2 linked regions of the Anolis sagrei genome follow. The protein of the gene in region 1 interacts with the protein of each later gene in a pairwise test. Links are inferred from orthologs where the notes say so. Each region holds a gene or a part of one and is shown on either strand. Other genes may lie near its edges.

Region 1 (10,930 bases):
CAGGGGGGTTGACTGCTCCCTGTAATTTGCTCCAGTTAACAATCTGGCCGCTGACCTTTGCACCAGTTGTAGTTTCTGAACCGTCTTCAAGGGCGACCCTATGTAGAGTGCATTACAATAGTCCAATCTTGAGGTAACTAAAGTGTGGACCACCATGGTCAAGTCAGACTTCTCGAGGTACAGTCGCAGCTGACGCAGAAGTTTGAACTGTGCAAAGGCCCTCCCGCCCTCTGCCGATGCCTGAGCATCAAGTGTCAGCGCTGAGTCCAGGAGGACCCCCAAACTGCAGACCTGTGTCTTCAAGGGGAGTGTAACCCCATCAAACACAGGTTGCCACTCTATACCCCGTTCGGCCAAGCGACTGACCTGTCTTGTCAGGATTAAATTTCAGCTTGTTGGCCCTGATCCAGTTCATCACAGCAGCCAGGCACTGGTCCAGGATCCGAGGGGCTTCCTTGGATTTTGGTGGAAAGGAGTAATAGAGTTGCATGTCATCTGTGTAGAGATGACAACGAACTCCAAAACTCCAGATGACCTCACCCAGTGGTTTCATGTAGATATTAAAAAGCATGGGGGAAAGAATAGAACCCTGCGGGACCCCATAGGTCAAAGGCCAGGGGTCCGGTCAGGTATCCCCCACCTTCACCAACTGGGTGCAGCCCTCCAGAAGGAATGGGGGCACTGCATTCCAAAGAGCCATCCCAGAAGGATACCATGATCGATGGTATCGAAAGTCACTGAGATGTCCAGGAGAACCAACAAGGTCACACTCCCCCTGTCAAGTTCTCTGTAGAGGTCATCCACCAAGGCAACCAAAGCAGTCTCGGTACTGTGACCAGGCCTGAAACCAGACTGCGATGGGTCCAGAAAATCGGTTTCGTCCAGGAATCCCTGGAGTTGAGAAGCAACCACTCGTTCCAGAATCTTACCCAAAAAAAGGGAGATTTGAGATTGGCCGATAGTTGTTCGATATTGATGAGTCAAGAGATGCCTTTTTAAAGAGCGGTCTCATGACTGCCTGTTTTCGGCATGGTGGAATTTGCCCTTGCTCCAATGAAGCATTTATTATCTTTTACAACCAATCGGCCACCCCTCCTCCAGCAAGTTTTATAAGCCACGACGGGCAAGGGTCTAGTGCGCATGTAGTCGCCCTCACCGCTCCAAGGATCCTGTCCATGTCATCAGGCTGCACCAGTTGAAATGAATCTAATAAGATCGAACTGACCGATGCCTCGGTTACCTCACCTGACAATGTAAGAATGTTGGCGTCCAGATCGGAGCATATCTGAGCGACTTTATCTGCAAAATGATGCGTGAACTCGCTGCATCAAGTGATTGGATTGTCGAGGAGCTCCTCCATCCCAGGAGGGTGGGCATAGTCACCCAGCTTGTCCAATCAGATTTTGGTAATACAAGCTAGAACGGCCTTTTCTTCCAGGACCAAGTCCTGGATAACTCCTGTTTTACCGTTGACCTTAAGCCTAGGGGGTCTGTCATTATTATTATTATTATTATTATTAACTTTATTTGTACCCCGCTAGCATCTCCCGAAGGACTCGATGCGGCTTACAAAGGCCAAAGCCTCAAAACACAAACATAACAATACATAACCTAATGCAAATTAAAAACAGTTAAAGCAATATTAAACAACAAGTAATAAAACAATACACCAGGACACAATAAAACTGGGCCGGGCCAGAGTAATGGGTACAAATTAAAAGTGCTGATGTGACAGGTGATATGTGAGGATTATAGGGTAAGTGCAATGTGCCAGCAATCTTAATTTCTAATAAAGTGCTTCTGGGACTTGTTGTTGGAGTTTTCCTATTCTGGAAAGGCACATCGGAACAGCCAGGTCTTCAAGTTCTTTCTAAAGACTGCCAACGTAGGGGCCTGTCTAAGATCTTTGGGGAGGGTATTCCAGAGTCGAGGGGCCACCACAGAAAAGGCCCTGTCTCGCGTCCCCACCAGACGCGCCTGCGACGCAGGCAGGACCGCGAGCAGGGCCTCTCCGGATGAACGAAGTGAGCGCGTGGGTTCATAAACGGAGATGTGGTCACGCAGGTAGGAAGGTCCCAAACCGTTTAGGGCTTTGTAGGTAAGCACCTGCACCTTAAATTGGGCTCAGAAGATAAACGGCAGCCAGTGGAGCTCCTTGAACAGGAGGGTTGAACTCTCTCTGTAAGGAGCACCAGTTAACATTGTGGCCGCTGCCCGTTGGACCAGTTGAAATTCCCGAGCCGTTTTCAAGGGCAGCCCCACATAGAGCGCATTACAGTAGCCCAATCTAGAGGTGACCAAGGCGTGGACCACCCCGGCCAGATCAGCTTTTGCGAGGTATGGTTGCAGTTGGCGCACGAGTCTCAATTGTGCAAAAGCCCTCCCGGACACCACCGACGTCGGAGCCTCAAGCGCAAGTGATGAGTCCAAGAGAACTCCCAAACTGTGGACCTGTGACTTCAGAGGGAGTGCAACCCCGTCCAACACAGGTTGCCACCCTATACCCCCATCAGGTTTACGATCGACCAGGAGGACCTCTGTCTTGTCGGGATTGATCTTCAGCTTGTTCTTCCTCATCCAGATTAGACACAACGGCCAGGCACTCGTCCAGCACCCGAGAGGCCTCCTTGGAGTTAGGTAGAAATGAGTAATAGAGTTGTGAGTCATCTGCGTAGAGATGGCACCTAACTCCAAAACTCCGGATGACCTCTCCCAGCGGTTTCATGTAGATGTTTAAAAGCATGGGAGACAAAATAGAGCCTTGCGGGACCCCACAGGTCAAAGGCCAGGGGTCCGAGCAGGCATCTCCCAGCTTCACCATCTGGGATTGACCCTCCAGGAAGGACCGGAGCCAGGACAAAACCATGCCCCCAAGACCCATCCCAGAGAGTCAACCCAGAAGGATACCATGATCGATGGTATCGAAAGCCGCTGAGATGTCCAAGAGAACCAACAGGGTCACACTCCCCCTGTCCAGCTCTCTACGGAGGTCATCCACCAAGGCGACCAAAGCTGTCTCGGTGCCGTGACTAGGCCTGAAACCAGACTGACTGATCTAGGTAGTTGATGTCATGTAGGCTAACCGGCTTAACTTGCCTCAGGGTTGCAAGAACTTTGTTGTGCTTCTCCTTGAGTTGATGAATTCAACCAGATCCTCTCCTCCTCTCCCCCCCCCCCCCACTACCTCAATGGTCTCCCCCCGAGTCGGGACCCTTCCCCCCCACACACACACCCAGGGTAGGCCAGGGCAGTAGTAATATATAACGGGGTAAGTCAACTGTCTGATCCCAGGGAATCAAAATATATCCTGTTCAAGGAGCACCACTGGCTGCCGTTTATTTTCCGAGCCCAATTTAAGGTGCAGGTGCTTACCTACAAAGCCCTGAACGGTTTGGGACCATCCTACCTGCGTGATCGCATCTCTGTCTACGAATCCACGCGTTCACTTCGATCATCCGGAGAGGCCCTACTCGTGATCCCGCCTGTGTCGCAAGCGCATCTGGTGGGGACACGAGACAGGGCCTTTTCTGTGGTGGCCCCCCGACTCTGGAACACCCTCCCCAAAGATCTTAGACAGTCCCCTACACTGGCAGTCTTTAGAAAGAACTTGAAGACCTGGCTGTTCCGATGTGCCTTCCCAGAATAGGAAATCTCCAATACCAAGTCCCAGAAGCACTTTATTAGAACTAAGATTGCTGCACACCGCACACTGCACTTGCCTTATAAGCCTTATATACCACCTGTCACATCAGCACTTTTAATCCTATACCCATTACTCTGGCCCGGCCCAGTTTTATTGTGTCTTAGTGTATTGTTTATTGCTTGTTGTTTATATTGCTTTAATTGTTTTTAATTTGCCTTAGGTTTTGTATTGTTATGTTGTGCTTTGAGGCCTTGGCCTTTGTAAGCCGCATCGAGTCCTTTGGGAGATGCTAGCGGGGTACAAATAAAGTTTAATAAATAATAATAATAATAATAATAATAATATCCTGGTGCAATGCTTAATGGAGCGGGGGTTTCCTGGAGAAGCGAAAGGAGGGAGTCATCTAAAGTACTGGAGGGATTAAAAGGCTCCTATGGAGGCTCTTAAACAGAGGCTGGATGCCCATCTGTTGGGAGTGCTTTTAACGCGATTTTCCTGTTTCTTGTCAGGGGGTTGGACTGTTAATTTTTATTTTTTGTATGTATGTATTTTATCTTTTATGATTTAGCTGTAAATCGCCTGGAGCATTCTCGGATGGAGGGCGATTAATAAGTTATTAAATGATGATGATGATGATGATGGATGGAAGGAAAGGTCTCTTTTAACTCTATATCTATATCATGGGACTTCTCTGGTTGCTCCAAAGCTCTAGGTGCTCTTACTGCCTATTACAGGGAAAACCAGCTGATCCCCAACCCATCTAAAACACAGACATGTGCCTTTCACCTTAAGAACAGACAAGCATCCCGAGCTCTGAGGATTACCTGGGAAGGAAGGAATCCCACTGGAGCATTGCAGCGCACCCAAATACCTGGGAGTCACTTTGGACCGTGCTCTGACCTACAAGAAGCACTGCCTGAACATCAAACAAAAAGTGGGCGCTAGAAACAATATCATACGAAAGCTGACTGGCACAACCTGGGGATCACAACCAGACACAGTGAAGACATCTGCCCTTGCGCTGTGCTACTCTGCTGCTGAGTATGCATGCCCAGTGTGGAACACATCTCACCACACTAAAACAGTGGATGTGGCTCTGAATGAGACATGCCGCATTATCACAGGGTGTCTGCGCCCTACACCACTGGAGAAATTACACTGCTTAGCCGGTATTGCACCACCTGACATCCGCCGGGAAGTAGCAGCCAATAGTGAAAGGACCAAGGCAGAGACATCTCCAGCTCATCCCCTGTTTGGGTATCAGCCAGCACGTCAACGACTTAAATCAAGACATAGTTTTCTTAGATCTACAGAGACACTCGCTGGAAGACCCCAGCAAGCAAGAGTCCAAAAGTGGCAGGCTCAAACCCAAATGAGAGACTCCCCCCTGGGCACACAGAGGTCTGGGCGACTTGGAAGGCGCTGAACAGACTGCGTTCTGGCACCACGAGATGCAGAGCCAACCTTCAGAAATGGGGCTACAAAGTGGAATCCTCGACATGCGAGTGTGGAGAAGAGCAAACTACAGACCACCTGCTGCAATGCACCCTGAGCCCTGCCACATGCACCATGGAGGACCTTCTTGTGGCAACCCCAGAGGCACTCCAAGTGGCCAGATACTGGTCAAAGGACATTTAATCAACTACCAAATCTGCAAAATCTGTGTGTTTTTTTTTCCTTTTTCTTTTTAATCTGTGTGTTTGTTTTGCTCTGTTAGAAGTGTAACACAATGCTTGCTGATGACACGATAAATAAATAAATGGGACTTCTGTGCCTCTCTAGGGTGAAAGGGGGCAGCCTCCAGACCTGCCCCTTGCTTTTCCCCATCAGGACAATGATAATACTACTACCAATAATAATAAGGCCCCTTCCTCACCTGTCGGGGGAGCCATGTGTGCTGCTGCTGCTGCGTCTGCTACTTCCGGTGCTTCTGCTGCCAATCCTCTGGTGGACCGCCCCCTGGCCTACTAAGAAACTCCGCCCCTTTTGACGACGGCACTCGGAAGTGTTGGGACAGCGCCACCCTCCCCGCGCCCTTTGGCGTCCTCCTCCTAACCTAACCTAAGCTTTTCAACCTGACATCTAGAGATAGACAAACTGCGCATGCGATCCCTTGGCAATTGCACTGACCGGGACTGCGCACGCGCTCTCTTCGAGGAAAAGGAGAGAAGGAAGTGGGCCTCCCGCGGCCCTTGCCACTGATTGACGCAGGCGCAAAAGCGAGTTCCGCCTCCTCTTCTTCCTGCGCAGGCGCGCTTGGGAGCAGGCGAGGCGAGACAAGGGGGCCTGGTCTGCGCATGCGCACTCGGGGGAAGGAGGGGAGGAGGAGGCCTCTGCTTGCCTGCCTGCTTGCTGCCACTGGTGAGCTTTCTTCTCCAAAGCGCCCCCCTTTGTGTCTATTATTATTGTATTCATGTATATTCTGCTTTCTCTCTCCATAAGGAGGCTCAAAGCATCTATCCATCTAGATTATTATATTACATATTTATTATTGTTGATATTATATGTATTTATGTCTTGCTTGATCCCTCCATAAGAAGACTCAAAGCAGATATGTGTTATTATTATTATATTGCATAGTTATTATAGTTGTTATTGTTATCAGTATTTATTGACACCTCATCTTATCTCTCCCAAAGGAGACCCAAGCTGCTATGTATCTGTTACTATGTATTTTTTATATTGATTTGCACCCCACTTTACCTCTTGCTTTCAGTGACCGTGTACCTATTATTATTATTAATAATGGAAGCAGCTTTGGTCACCTTTGTGAGTGGGTTGCCTCCGCAGGGAGTTCGGCGTGGGTCGGGTGTCCCTATTGGTTCTCTTGGATCTCTCACCGGTTTTTATACAATTGACTATGGTGTCCTTCTGGGCCGGCTCTCCGGAAGGGTCTTGGGAGCATTGCACTTCAATGGCTCCTCTCCTTCCTGGAGGGCCACACCCAGTATGTGAAGTTGGGGGACTCCTTCTCGAACCTCTTGGCCTGTGACCTATGGCAGTGGTTCTCAACCTTGGGTCCCCAGATGTTTATGGCCTACAACTCCCAGAAATCCCAGCTAGTTTACCAGCTGTTAGGATTTCTGGGAGTTGAAGGCCAAAAACATCTGGGGACCCCAGGTTGAGAACCACTGACCTATGGGGTCCTGCAAAGGTTCCATTCTCACCCCCCCATGTTCTTCAATATCTACATGAAACCGCTGGGCGAGGTCATCCCGAGTTTTGGGGTTCAGTGCCATCTCTATGCAGATGTCACCCCAACTCTATTATTCGTTTCCAGCACAATTTAAGGAGGCTCCCCGAGTCCTGGACCAGTGCCTGGCAGCTGTGATGGGCTGGATGAGGACCAACAAGCTGAGACTCAATCCAGACAAAACAGAGGCTCTCCTGGTCAGTCACAAGGGCATTTCAGAGCCGGGGGCCACTACTGAGAAGGCCTTCTCTCTTGTTCCCACCAACTGTGGAGGTGGGAGCAAGGGAAGGGCCTCCCCGGCAGATCTTAAGGCCTGGTCCACAGGGGGAGATGCGGTCGCGTAAATATGCTAAACTCGAGTCCTGGGCCAGTGCCTGGCAGCTGTGATGGGCTGGATGAGGACCAACAAGCTGAGACTCAATCCAGACAAAACAGAGGCTCTCCTGGTCAGTCACAAGGGCATTTCAGAGCCAGGGGCCACTACTGAGAAGGCCTTCTCTCTTGTTCCCACCAACTGTGGAGGTGGGAGCAAGAGAAGGGCCTCCCCGGCAGATCTTAAGGCCTGGTCCACAGGGGGAGATGCGGTCGTGTAAATATGCTAAACTCGAGTCCTGGGCCAGTGCCTGGCAGCTGTGATGGGCTGGATGAGGACCAACAAGCTGAGACTCAATCCAGACAAAACAGAGGCTCTCCTGGTCAGTCACAAGGGCATTTCAGAGCCGGGGGCCACTACTGAGAAGGCCTTCTCTCTTGTTCCCACCAACTGTGGAGGTGGGAGCAAGGGAAGGGCCTCCCCGGCAGATCTTAAGGCCTGGTCCACAGGGGGAGATGCGGTCGCGTAAATATGCTAAACCCGAACTGTGTAGGGCTTTGTAGGCAATAACCTGCACTTTGAATTGGGCCCGGAAACACATAGGCAGCCAATAGAGGTGCTTTAATAAGGGGGTGGTATGTTCCCTATAATCTGCTCCTGTCAGCAACCTGGCCACTGATCTTTGCACCAGCAGTTTTCGAGCTTCTTCAGAGACAGCCCCATGTAGAGTGCATTGCCGTAATCCATCCAAGATGTAACTAAGGCATGGACCACCATGGCCACATCTGGCTTTTTATATGGCAGGAGTACATTTATATCTGGATGAACTCTCTGGGATAGGATGTGACTTGAGGGCCATTGCTTTGCAGTGGTTCTGCTCCTTCCTGGAGGACCAGACCCAGATGGTGGTGCAGGGGGACTGTGGGGTCTCTCAAGGTTCCACTCTATCTCCCATGCTCTTCAATATCTACATGAAACCGCTGGGCGAGGTCATCCGGAGTTTTGGAGTTCGGTGCCATCTCTATGCAGATGTCACTCAACTCTATTATTCATTTCCAGCACAATCCAAGGAGGCTCCCCGAGTCCTGGGCCAGTGCCTGGCAGCTGTGATGGGCTGGATGAGGACCAACAAGCTGAGACTCAATCCAGACAAAACAGAGGCTCTCCTGGTCAGTCACAAGGGCATTTCAGAGCCAGGGGCCACTACTGAGAAGGCCTTCTCTCTTGTTCCCACCAACTGTGGAGGTGGGAGCAAGGGAAGGGCCTCCTTGGCAGATCTTAAGGCCTGGACCACAGGGGGAGATGCGGTCGCGTAAATATGCTAAACCCGAACTGTGTAGGGCTTTGTAGGCAATAACCTGCACTTTGAATTGGGCCCGGAAACACATAGGCAGCCAATAGAGGTGCTTTAATAAGGGGGTGGTATGTTCCCTATGAAACATGCCCCGGTGGCGCCGTGGGTTAAAGCACTGAGCTGCTGAGCTTGTTGAGCGAAAGGTCGCAGGTTCGATTTCGGGGAGCGGCGTGAGCGTCCGCTGTCAGCCCTAGCTTCTGCCAACATAGCAGTTCGAAAACATGCAAATGTGAGTAGATCAATAGGTACCGCTCCGGCGAGAAGGTAACGGCGCTCCATGTAGTCATGCCGGCCACATGACCTTGGAGGTGTCTACGGACAACGCCGGCTCTTCGGCTTAGAAATGGAGATGAGCACCACACCCCAGAGTCAGACATGACTGGACTTAATGTCAGGGGACTACCTTTACCTTTACCTATGTTCCCTATAATCTGCTCCTGTCAGCAACCTGGCCACTGATCTTTGCACCAGCAGTTTCCGAGCTGTCTTCAGAGACAGCCCCATGTAGAGTGCATTGCCGTAATCCCTCCGAGATGTAACTAAGGCATGGACCACCATGGCCACATCTGGCTTTTTATATGGCAGGAGTACATTTATATCTGGATGAACTCTCTGGGATAGGATGTGACTTGGGGGCCATTGCTTTGCAGTGGCTCTGCTCCTTCCTGGAGGACCAGACCCAGATGGTGGTGCAGGAGGACTGTGGGGTCTCTCAAGGTCCCACTCTATCTCCCATACTCTTCAATATCTACATGAAACTGATGGGTGAGGTCCTCCGGAGCTTTGGATTTGGGTGCCATCCCAACTCTACTACTCTTTTCCACTCCATTCCAAGGAAGCTCCCTGGGTCCTGTACCAGTGCCTGGCAATTTTGATGGGCTGGATGAGGGTCAACTAGCTTACAATCCTGGTAAGTTGCGAGGCTGATCAGGGCCTAGGATCAGGGCGAGGCTGATCAGGGCCTGTGCTTGACGGAAGGGGTCACGCTGCCCCTGAGGACATAGTTCTGCAGCCTGGGGGTCCTCCTGGACTCAGTGCTGACCCTTGAAGCTCAGGTATCGACGGTGGCCCGGAGGGCCTTTGCATAGTTAAAGCTTGTGCACTATCTGCGACCGTACCTCAAAAAGCCTGATGGCCATGGTGGTCCACGCCTTAGTTACATCCAGAATAGACTACTGAAATGCATTCTACGTGGGCTGCCTTTGAAGACGGCTCGGAAGCTGCAGCTAATGCAAAGATCAGCAGCAAGGCTTCTAACTGGAGTTAATTATAGGGAGCGCAGGATGCCCCTATTAAAGCAGCTCCACTGGCTTCTGATAAGTTTCTGGTCCCAATTCAAGGTGCAGGTTACCACCTACAAAGCCCTACACAGTTCAGGTCCAGCCTATCTTCGAGACCGCATTTGCTTCTATGAACCGGTGTCAGTTTTGAGATCTGCCTGGAGGCCCTCCTCTTGGTCCCACCTCCGTCTCAAGTGCGGTTGGTGGGGACGAGGGAGAGAAAGAGAAGACCCTTCTTGGTGGTGCCCACCCTCCTGGGGTCTGGAACACCCTCCCCAGGGAGAGTACTTTTGGAAAGAGCTAAAATGTGGCTTTTGAAACAATTTAAGATAGTTGCCATTGATTGCCAATTATCTTTTAATCATGGCTACAGCCATATTTTGCTGTCTCTATTTAATGGAAGCTGCTTTTGTTAATTTAATATATTGGTTTTATCGGATGTGTTATTGATTTTATGCTGTTGTATTGCATGTGTGTTATATTGTAAGCGGCCCCGAGTCCCTATGGGAGATGGTGGTGGGGTATAAATAAAAGTTTATTATTATTGCTATTGTTATTATATTGATTTGCACCCGGCTTTATCATCTGCACCAAGGAGACTGAGAGAGATGGCTGACAACAAGCGCCTGGCCTTCGCCATCGTCCGATTCCTGCAGGATCAGCTCCAGGACGGAGGCCTCTCCCCGGATGCCCAGGAGAGCCTTGAAGGTGGGCCCTCATTCAAATATCATCAGCATCATAACAATGCCCTGCCTTTTCTCTCCACAAGGAGACTCAAAGCTTTTGGAAGAACGCCTTTTGGAGATCATAACTTTTAAGGAAAAGCCTGACCTTTCAGAAAGGAGCCAAAAACCCTTTAGAGTAGAACCTTCTCTTGTGCCATACAACCAAATATAATTATGCAATGCAGTGGTCTCGGTTGTTAGACTGAATAACCTGTTATCTCTGATCTGTTAAGAAAACAGAGATAATTCTGTTTGAGATCATTCTCTGTGCCATCCGACAAGGGCATCTCTCTTATAACAAAACATCAAGAATGTGATCTGAGGTCTGAAGTAGGCTGTAGTAGTCTGCTGTCTGTCTGATCATCTAGTCTGCAGCCCCTTTTATAACTTCTCAGGAGCCATAGAGTAAAGGAATCTGCATA
Region 2 (9,736 bases), on another chromosome or scaffold:
CGACATGGGAAGGATTTGCAAAACAAATCCATGCAAAGAAGAGACGGGGAAGAAGGGCACGATGGAACACAACACAACACACACACACACACACAACCCTTGTTGTACTTTTTCTTTTGCTCCCTCTAAATAGAACGGTTGCAAGAACGGATCTGCAAGTGAGAGGGAAGGACGATCCCCGGAGGCAGCCACAATCAAGAGTTTTGTGCCTGACGTTCCTCTCTCAAAACAGACTCAAATTAGGATGGATGTCTTGAACGCATTGACTTGATGTTCCTCTCAATATCAAGAGAGAAGGAAGGGGAAAGGGAACCAGGGAGGAGAAAAGGGAGGGCAAAGGGTCAGGAAAAGAGAGAGGAGGAGGAGGGAGGAAGAGAAGAAAGGGAAAAAGAAAGAGAAAGAATGAGAAAGAGAGAGAAAAGAGAAAAACAAGGAGAGAAAGAAAGAGAAAGGGAGAAAAAGGGAGAGAAGAGAGTAAGAAAGAAAGAAAAAGAGAGAAAAAAGAAAGAAAAAAGAATGAGGAGAGAAAGAAAAAGGAGAAATAGAGAGAGAAGGGAGTGAGAAAGAAAAGAAAGAAAAAGAACAAGGAGAAAAAGAAAGAGAAAGGGAGAAATAGAGAGAGAAGAGAGTGAGAAAGAAAGAGAGAGGAGAGAAAGAATGAGAGAGGGTGAGAGAAAGAGAAAGAAAGCATGAAAGGGGGGAGAAACAGAAAGAAAAACAAGGAGGAGAGAAAGAAAAAAGGAGAAATAGAGAGAGAAGAGACTGAAAAAGAATGAGAAAGAGAGGAGAGAAAGAATGAGAGAGGGTGAAAGAAAGAGAAAGGGAAAGACAAAGCGTGAAAGAGAGTGAGAAAAAGAAAGAAAAACAAAGACAAGAAAGAGAAAGAACAAGAGAAAGTGAAAGAAAAAAGCAAAAGAGAAAGGAAGAGGAAGAGAAAACAAAAAGACAGAGAGAGGAAAAAGAAAGAAAAAATAGAGAGAGAAAGAGAAAGAAGGAGACAGAATGAGGGAAAGAGATAGAAAAAGGAGGAGAGAAAAAGAGGGGGAAAGAAAAAAGGAAAGAGAAAGAAAAATAGAAAAAGAAATAGAGAGAAAAAAGGAAAAGAGGGAGAGAAAAAAAGAGAAAGGAAGAGAGAGAAAGAGAAAGAAAGAAAGAAAGAAAGAGGAAGAGAAAACAGAGAGAAAGGAAGACAGAGCAATAGGGAAAGAAAGAGAAAAGAGAGAGAGAGGAAAAAGAAAGAAAAATAGAGAAAGAGAAAGAAGGAGAGGGAAAGAAAGAGAGAAAGAAAGAACGAAAGAGAAAGAAAAATAGAAAAGGAAATAGAGAGAAAAAAGGAAAAGAGGGAGAGAAAAAAAGAGAAAGGAAGAGAGAAAGAGAAAGAGAAAGAAAGAAAGAAAGAAAGAAAGAGGAAGAGAGAGAGAAAACAGAGAGAAAGGAAGACAGAGCAAAAGGGAAAGAAAGAGAAAAGAGAGAGAGAGGAAAAAGAAAGAAAAATAGAGAAAGAGAAAGAAGGAGAGGGAAAGAAAGAGGGAAAGAAAGAAAGAAAGAAAGAAAGAAAGAAAGAAGGAGAAAGAAAAATAGAAAAGGAAATAGAAAAAAGGAAAAGAGGGAGAGAAAAAAAGAGAAAGGAAGAGAGAGAGAGAAAGAGAAAGAAAGAAAGAGGAAGAGAGAGAGAAAACAGAGAGAAAGGAAGACAGAGCAATAGGGAAAGAAAGAGAAAAGAGAGAGAGAGGAAAAAGAAAGAAAAATAGTGAAAGAGAAAGAAGGAGAGGGAAAGAAAGAAAGAAAGAAAGAAAGAAGGAGAAAGAACAATAGAAAAAGAAATAGAGAGAAAAAAGAAAAAGTCAAAGAGGAAGAGAGAAAAAGAGGAAGAAATTTCCTTTATGTTCCTCTCAATTAATTAATTTTACGATCCGACGGAGGGGCGCAAGGTGGCGAAACAAAGCCGCAGAGAGAAGGGTGGCCAAAGAGAGAGAGAGAAAGAAAGAAAGAAAGAAAGAAAGGAGGAGAGAGTGCCAAGGACGGGCTCCTTGGGGGGAAGGCGGCTGTGCCCGGTCTCTTCTGGCCGGAGAAAGAGAGAGAGGGACCGGGAATGCGGGGAATCCCAACCATGCCCTCTCCTTCCCAGAGCGCTGCATGGCGGTGTGTGTGTGTGCAAAAAGAAGGGCCAGAATAGCAACAGAAGGAGGTGCCTTGGCCCTGGGGATAGTTGAGGGCCCCCCCTTGGAACTGGCTGCCCTCAAGCCAAACCCCAAAGAGCCCCTTCTATATTGGAGTTGGAGTTGCTGGGATTTATAGTTCACCTGCAATCAAAGAACATTTTGAACCCCACCAATAATAACATTGGGCCAAACTTCCCACATGGAATCCCCATGACCATCAGAAAATACTGTGTTTTCTGATGGTCTTTGGTGACCCCTCTGACACCCCCTCGTGACCCCCCCAGGGGTCCCAACCCCCAGGTTGAGAAACACTGCCATAGACGTGCAACACATAGAGGCCATTCAACATTCCCGCTTTTCCGGCTTCAGGAGGGTGTGCTGAGGTCCGGCCACAGGGGGAGCTGTGACACCCAGTTCTGGATGGAGGACTTCCTCATTCTTATGCACGCTGCTGGAAGGTTTTATGGCGCTGTAAATTAATTAAGTTAGCCTCCCCGCGTAAAGCAATACCTAAATTTCCTAGTGAAGAGAGAGGGGGCCAGGAAGACAGCTCCACCTCGTCTCCTTGTCTATTTCCTTCCTTCCCCAGATTCCTCCGTGGGGCGAGCAGAAAGAGGGACAGCTGCAAGGGCTCAAAAGGGAAGGCGCCCGGCCTTATTTATAGCTGCGCTTAATGCCTTGCAGCAGGTGGGACGCTCCCAAACCTGGGCAAGCAAGCAAGCGAGCAAGCAAGCAAGAGCATGGCCAGGGTTCCCTCCCTCCGCTCTCTCCTTCCTTCCTTCCTTCCCCTTCGGAGGCTCCCAGCCTCTCTCTCTCTCTCTCTCTCTCTCTCTCTCTCTCTCTTCTGGGCAAAAACTTCCTTTTTAGGGCAAGTCACTTTGTTTGATTTCCAGGCACTCGTTGGACTCAAGGCGACCGACCGGGACACAGGAACAGACCCAAAGAAAGGACAACTGGAACCAAGTTCCCTTCCTCTTTGGAGAGAGTCCTTCTCCCTCTTCCATTGAAAGGAGTTGTTGTTCACCCCCAGAAGTGTCGCTTTGTGTGTCTGCCACAAACTAGGTGGCAATGGGTTGAGACTCCATGATGAGACCTTCATTGAGACGCTATAGCACATGACATTGATAACAACCCAGGAACAATAATCACGTCACATAGTATTATTATTATTATTATTATTATTATTATTATTATTACTACTACTACTACTCTTATATTTATTAATATAATATTTAGTATATAATGATATAATTGTTGAGACTTGACGATGGGACATTCATTGAAAAACTCGAGCACATGACGTTGATAACAACCCAGGAACAATAATCACGTCACATAGTATTATTATTATTATTATTATATTTATCAATATAATATTTAGTATATTTATTTATATTTATTTATTTATCGTGTCATTATATACTATATTTAGTATATAATGATATAATTGTTGAGACTCGATCATTGAGAAGCTCGAGTACATGACAACAATCATCACGTCACATAGTATTATTATTATTATTATTATTACTACTATTTCTATTAATATAATATTTAGTATATAATGATATAATTGTTGAGACTCAATGATGGGACATTCATTGAAAAGCTATAGCACATGACATTGATAACAACCCAGGAACAATAATCACAACACATAGTATTATTATTATTATTATTATTATTATTATTATTATTATATTTATTAATATAATATTTAGTATATAATGATATAATTGTATTGCTATTGCAATAATATTACATCATAAGATAATTAATATAACTTAATAATATCATATAATAATAGAAATAATACAATAACATATATAATAGTTTTTAAATAAATACTAAATAAATAAACATATATTATTCTATTTATTAATATAATATTTAGTATATAATGATATAATTGTATTGCAATAATATTACATCATAAAATAATTAATATAACAATAATATCATATAATAATAGATATAATACAATAATAACATATATAATAATAAATGTAATTATAATATAAAACGAAAATAATATAATATATCATAATAATAAATATAATTACATACCGTAACGTAATGTGCTACAGCAGGATGTCCCAGAAGAACAATGTTTTGGCAATTTAATCAACTTTCCCTACGTTTTGATGGCAGACCCAATTAGGAAATGATGTTGATAACACAACAATAATATAATATAAATAATATAATATAATAATAAAACAATAAATAATATAATATAATATAAAACAACAATAATATAATACATAATAATAATAAATGTAATAATAAATATCATGACATACTGTAACGTAATGTGCTATTATAGCAGGATGTCCCAGAAGAACAATATTTTGGCAATTTAATCAACTTTCCCTATGTGTTGATGACAGACCCAATTAGGAAATGACGTTGATAGCCCAGGGACACAAATTGTGTTGCAAAGTGTTATGGACACTTTTGGGAAAGAGGATGCTGTTGCCGTGGCAACCCTGCACGCGCTGGACCAAATCCAAGGGAGGAAGGAAAGCACGCCCAATCCTACAGTCATTATTATTACAATAATAATAATAATAATAATAATAATAATAATACTAATAATAATAATAATAATAATGCTGCTAGTTCTGCCTCTCAATGGCCAACCCCTGGCCCTCCCTGTGGGGCCCCCAAGGGATCCTTACCTGGAAGGCAGGTGGGCAAGCTCTTTCCTTCCTTTCTTTCCCTTCTTCCTTCCTTCCTTTCGGCTTCTCAACTTTCCTCTCTTGAAACTTCTGTTGCAGCTGCTTCCCCTGCAAGGTGGGCGGGACCGAGGGCAGCCAGGGAACCAATCAGGAGGCGTGAGAGGGAGAGCCCAGCCAATGAGTGCAAAGCTGGCTGGAAAATAAGTCTGCAAGAAGTCTGCTCCACTTGCAGGTTGGCATTAAAGGAGACATAATAATAATAATAATAATAATAATAATAATAATAATAATAATAATAATAATAATAATATAGAGGAAACTCCTGTGGGGATTGGGAGATGCCAGGTCAATCATCATCACCATCATCATCCTCATCAGACTCTCTGTTAATCCATGACCTCTCGTGGGTTTAGTAGATGTTGCATTAACAATAAATAATAATAATAATAAATATATTAATAATACTACAATAATAATACAATACAAAAATAATACAATTACCCCATGGGGATTGTTAGATGTGTATCAATAATAATAATAATAATAATAATAATAATATATTAATAATACAGTATTATTAATTACTGTATTTAATAATACAGTAATTAATAATACAATTAACCCATGGCCCCCATGAAGATTGGTAGATGTGTATAAATGATAATAATAAATATATTAATAATAATACAGTAGATCCCCAGTTAACCCATGGTACCTATGGGGATTGGGATCAATAATAATAATAATTATTAATAAATATATAAATATTAATACAGCAGACCCCCAATTAACCCACGGTACTAATGGGGATTGGTGGATGTGTACCAATAACAAACATCATAATAATAATAATAATAAATATATTAATAATAATACCCCAGACCCCCAATTAACCCACAGTACCCATGGGGATTGGTAGTTGGTATCAATAATAATAGTAATAATAATAATAATAATAATAATAATAATAATATATAAATAATAATACAGTAGACCCCCCAGTTAACCCATGGTACCCATGGGAACTGGTAGATATGTACCAATAATATATATATATATATTAATAATAATATAATAGACCCCCAGTTAACTCATACTACACATGGGGATTGGTAGTTGTGTACCAATAATAATAGTAAATATGTTAATAATAATATAATAGACCCCCAGTTAACCCATGGTACCCATGGGGATTGGTAGATGTATACCAATAATAATATTAATAATAATAATAAAATATATTAATAACAATACAGTAGACCCCCAATTAACCCATGCCCCCCCCATGGGAATTGGTAGATGTGTACCAATAATAAAATATATATATATATTAATAATAATACAGTAGACCTCCCAATTAACCCATGGTACCCATGGGGATTGGTAGATGTGTACCAATAATAAATATATTATTATTAATAATAATAAATATTTTAATAATAACACAGCAGACCCCCAATTAACCCACGGTACCCATGGTAATTGGTGGATGTGTATCAATAATAAATATAAATATAATAATATATGAATAATAATACTGTAGACCCCCCAATTAATCCATGGTACCTATGGGGATTGGTAGATGTATACCAATAATAATAATAATAATAATAATATATAAAAATATAAATAAATAATATAGTCGACTCCCAATTAACCCATGGCCGCCCCCATGGGGATTGGTAGATGTGTATCAATAATAATATCAACAACAATAACAGGGATCGATAAATGCTGTGTGAGTGCAGTTTGTGGTTGCTTGAGAGTCCCTCTCTCTTAAAGGCAGACCTCGTGCTGTAACCCAGACCATAAACTCTGCATCGACTGGGGATTCACCTTGCAGTCCAGTCGTGAAAAGCAAACCAAGACCATCAACGCCAAACCCAACAGCCTGGCTGTAGCATGACAACCAGCTTTTCAAAAATGCAAAGTGTGGTTTCTTTGGTTTTGTTTCCACCTGTTGCTTGGATTCCGGTTAACTAAGAGTCTGCTGTAGTCATGTTTTGTTTCACATAGAAAAAAATATATTTCTATGGGTTGCCTTTGGAGCCTCCGCTTTGGGGACTCCCCCAAGCCCAAGGGCCGCCGTCCTTTGCAAAGACCGGTCTTCTTTCTCTTCGGCTGGAGAAGGAATGCAGCCAAGAAGATCCCAACAGAGGAGGGAAGGAGAGAGCGGTGCTGGCCCCAAACTGTCACCACATTTCAAGGAAGGAGGCGGCAAAGACAAAGGGGGAGAGACGGCCCCACAAAAGGTCTCTCCGCTGGCCCTGCTCCAGCTGGAAGGCCGACCCACACTTGGGAGCAAGGAGCAAACACGGGGCCAAGGCTCTTCCTCTGGAACATCGGGGTTAGGAATCCTTGGAAGCGTCTACACGGTGATTCCAATGCACTTTGGTCCCCTTCTGCCCCGTTGCCCCCCTCACCTGCAATGCTTCTGCACACCCCAAACTGAACCCCAAACTGAGCAAGACACAGGGACGGGCAAGTGGCATCAAAGGCTGGACAAAATAAGAACCATAATAATAACCACAATAATAATAATCCGGCATATAGATCTCCTTTGCTGTGACATACTGTGCTTCTGTGTCAGAAAAATAATAATAATAATGATATTTAATCGTCGAAGGCTTTCATGGCTAGAATCACTGGGTTGCTGTAGGTTTTTCAGGCTATATGACCACGTTCTAGAAGCATTCTCTTCTGACGTTTCACCTGCATCTATGGCAAGCATCCTCAGAGGTTGTGAGGTCTCTCACAACCTCTGGGGATGCTTGCCACAGATGCAGGCGAAACGTCAGGAGAGAATGCTTCTAGAACACTCTCACTACCTCTGGGGATGCTTGCCATAGATGCAGGCGAAAGGTCAGGAGAGAATGCTTCTAGAACACTCTCACAACCTCTGTGGATGCTTGCCAGAGATGCAGGCGAAATGTCAGGAGAGAATGCTTCTAGAACAGTCTCACAAACCTCTTGCCATAGATGCAGGCGAAATGTCAGGAGAGAATGCTTCTAGGACACTCTCACAACCTCTGAGGACGCTTGCCATAGATGCAGGCGAAACGTCAGGGGAGAATGCTTCTAGAACACTCTCACAACTCTTCCCATAGATGCAGGCGAAATGTCAGGAGAGAATGCTTCTAGAACATGGCCATATAGCCCGGAAAACAGACAACAACCCATTAATAATTATGTCTCCCAAAGGAGACTCACTTAACATAAAAGCTGACAAAATGCCAAAAGTTAACATAAAACTTTTGTCTGGGGTTGCAAAATTGTCCATCTACACTGTCGAATTAATGCACTTTGATACCACTTTGATGCTAAAGGATGGTGAGAGTTCTAGTTCAGTGGCATTCGGCAGACCTTGTCAAATCATGAATCCGTAGCACTGAGCCATGGCCGTGCTATGCATTAATGCTAATAATAATAATAATATAATTGTATATTTTATATTAAATGTAATATTACTAATAATATTACAGGATAATGTTATAGTACAATGTAATATATAATATTAATATTGTGCTAAGATAATAATAATAATAATATATTGCATTTACTTTTTACTTGTCAGCCGCTCTGAGTCCCCTTCGGGGTGAGAAAGGCGCCATATCAAGGTCGTCAATAATAAATAAATACGTAAATAAATCAATTTATATTTGCAGGTGGCTGATTTTGGAGGCAGCGGGTTCCGGGCTTGACCCCAAACATCCCCAATCATTACTAAATATGTAAACATTTTCAAGAGGAAAGGAATACCCCAATTACTTTACAAAACGTCACTTTTTTAATGTTTTCACATAAAAACAAGGAGGAAAAAAGGGGGGAATTACAAACCCAAGGATGGCGCCCCGCTCGCTCCCCCCACCCCCCAATCCCCCCTCCCTCTCTTCCCAAAAACCCCAAACACATGCGCAACCCAAGGAAAGTCAACAAAAAAAAAGGGATTTGCTTAAAAAACATTATTTAAAAAATAATGATCATGATCATAATAATAATCCGTGTCCCGAGAGTCTTGTTTCCGTCTCTCCCGCTCTCGGGGGCAGAGCTTGGAAGCAGAAAGCGTTCCCCAAGAGGTATCTCGTGTCCCCCAAAAAAGGTCCGGCTTCGGAATCCGTTCCAGGCCAAATTTAGGGGAAAATTAGGAAATTTCCCATCTCCTTTCCCCCAAAGTCTGTAGAGTGTCCTTATTGCCATTGATTTGGAAACGGAAGCAGAAAAGCGTCCACAAGCGTATAGAGCAAATGGACGCAGCTGTCGTGCGTCACTCTGGAAAGCAAGAGGTGTGGACTAGTGCTGATAACAGCACTTCCTGTGTTCACAATGTTACGATTGGACGGTGCGCTGAGTGTTAAGTAGCTTCTAATGTATATCGCTGTAAAATAATGTAGTTTATAGCCTAAGGTGGCTGTCATTGATCACGTTCCTGCCTTACTGACAGCTGGGTTATGGGCCCAGAACCACGTTTCACCGCTGCATCTAATCTACGATGATTGTCACTGACAGAGGTCTCTTCCCAGAAAGGCTTTATTGTTTGAGAAGGGAAGCCCCATCAGGCTCCTCTCTGAGGGTCCTTCCACACAGCCGTATCAACCAGAACATCCAAGCAGATCGTCCACAAAAGGGCCAGAGGATTAGCACGGGTGGTAAATCATCAGCAATTATAAGATCTATCAACCAAAAGGTTGCAAGTTCGAAGCCCTGGGTTGGCGTGAGCTGCCAACTGTCAGCCTAGCTCATTGTTTACCTAAGCAATTTGAAAACAGCTTTAGAGAAATTAGGTACCACTATATAGAGGGGGAGGTGTTTTACGACACCATAAAGAAGGAAGATCAGAAAATGTTGGGCCACCAAAAGGAAGGAGGAAGCCAACAGCACCCCCTGGACTCGAGC

What was found.
Region 2: the proteins of SGTA (region 1) and PBXIP1 interact in binary tests that used the Homo sapiens proteins (3 or more experiments, as listed by UniProt). The two-hybrid records come from large-scale screens. The link is inferred for Anolis sagrei from reciprocal best matches to the Homo sapiens genes SGTA and PBXIP1.

The regions. Positions count from the first base shown.
Region 1 is NC_090034.1:62,623,817-62,634,746, reverse strand, and holds the start of SGTA (small glutamine-rich tetratricopeptide repeat-containing protein alpha), read left to right. Parts: upstream 1-5,895; 5' UTR 5,896-6,004; intron 6,005-10,378; 5' UTR 10,379-10,391; coding exon 10,392-10,491; intron 10,492-10,930. Other genes in the region: THOP1 (thimet oligopeptidase), read right to left, coding at 5,520-5,535. UniProt on the Homo sapiens protein: Co-chaperone that binds misfolded and hydrophobic patches-containing client proteins in the cytosol. Mediates their targeting to the endoplasmic reticulum but also regulates their sorting to the proteasome when targeting fails.
Region 2 is NC_090032.1:267,399-277,134, reverse strand, and holds the start of PBXIP1 (pre-B-cell leukemia transcription factor-interacting protein 1), read right to left. Parts: upstream 5,083-9,736; 5' UTR 4,844-5,082; intron 488-4,843; exon of another isoform or gene 109-487; intron 1-108. UniProt on the Homo sapiens protein: Regulator of pre-B-cell leukemia transcription factors (BPXs) function. Inhibits the binding of PBX1-HOX complex to DNA and blocks the transcriptional activity of E2A-PBX1.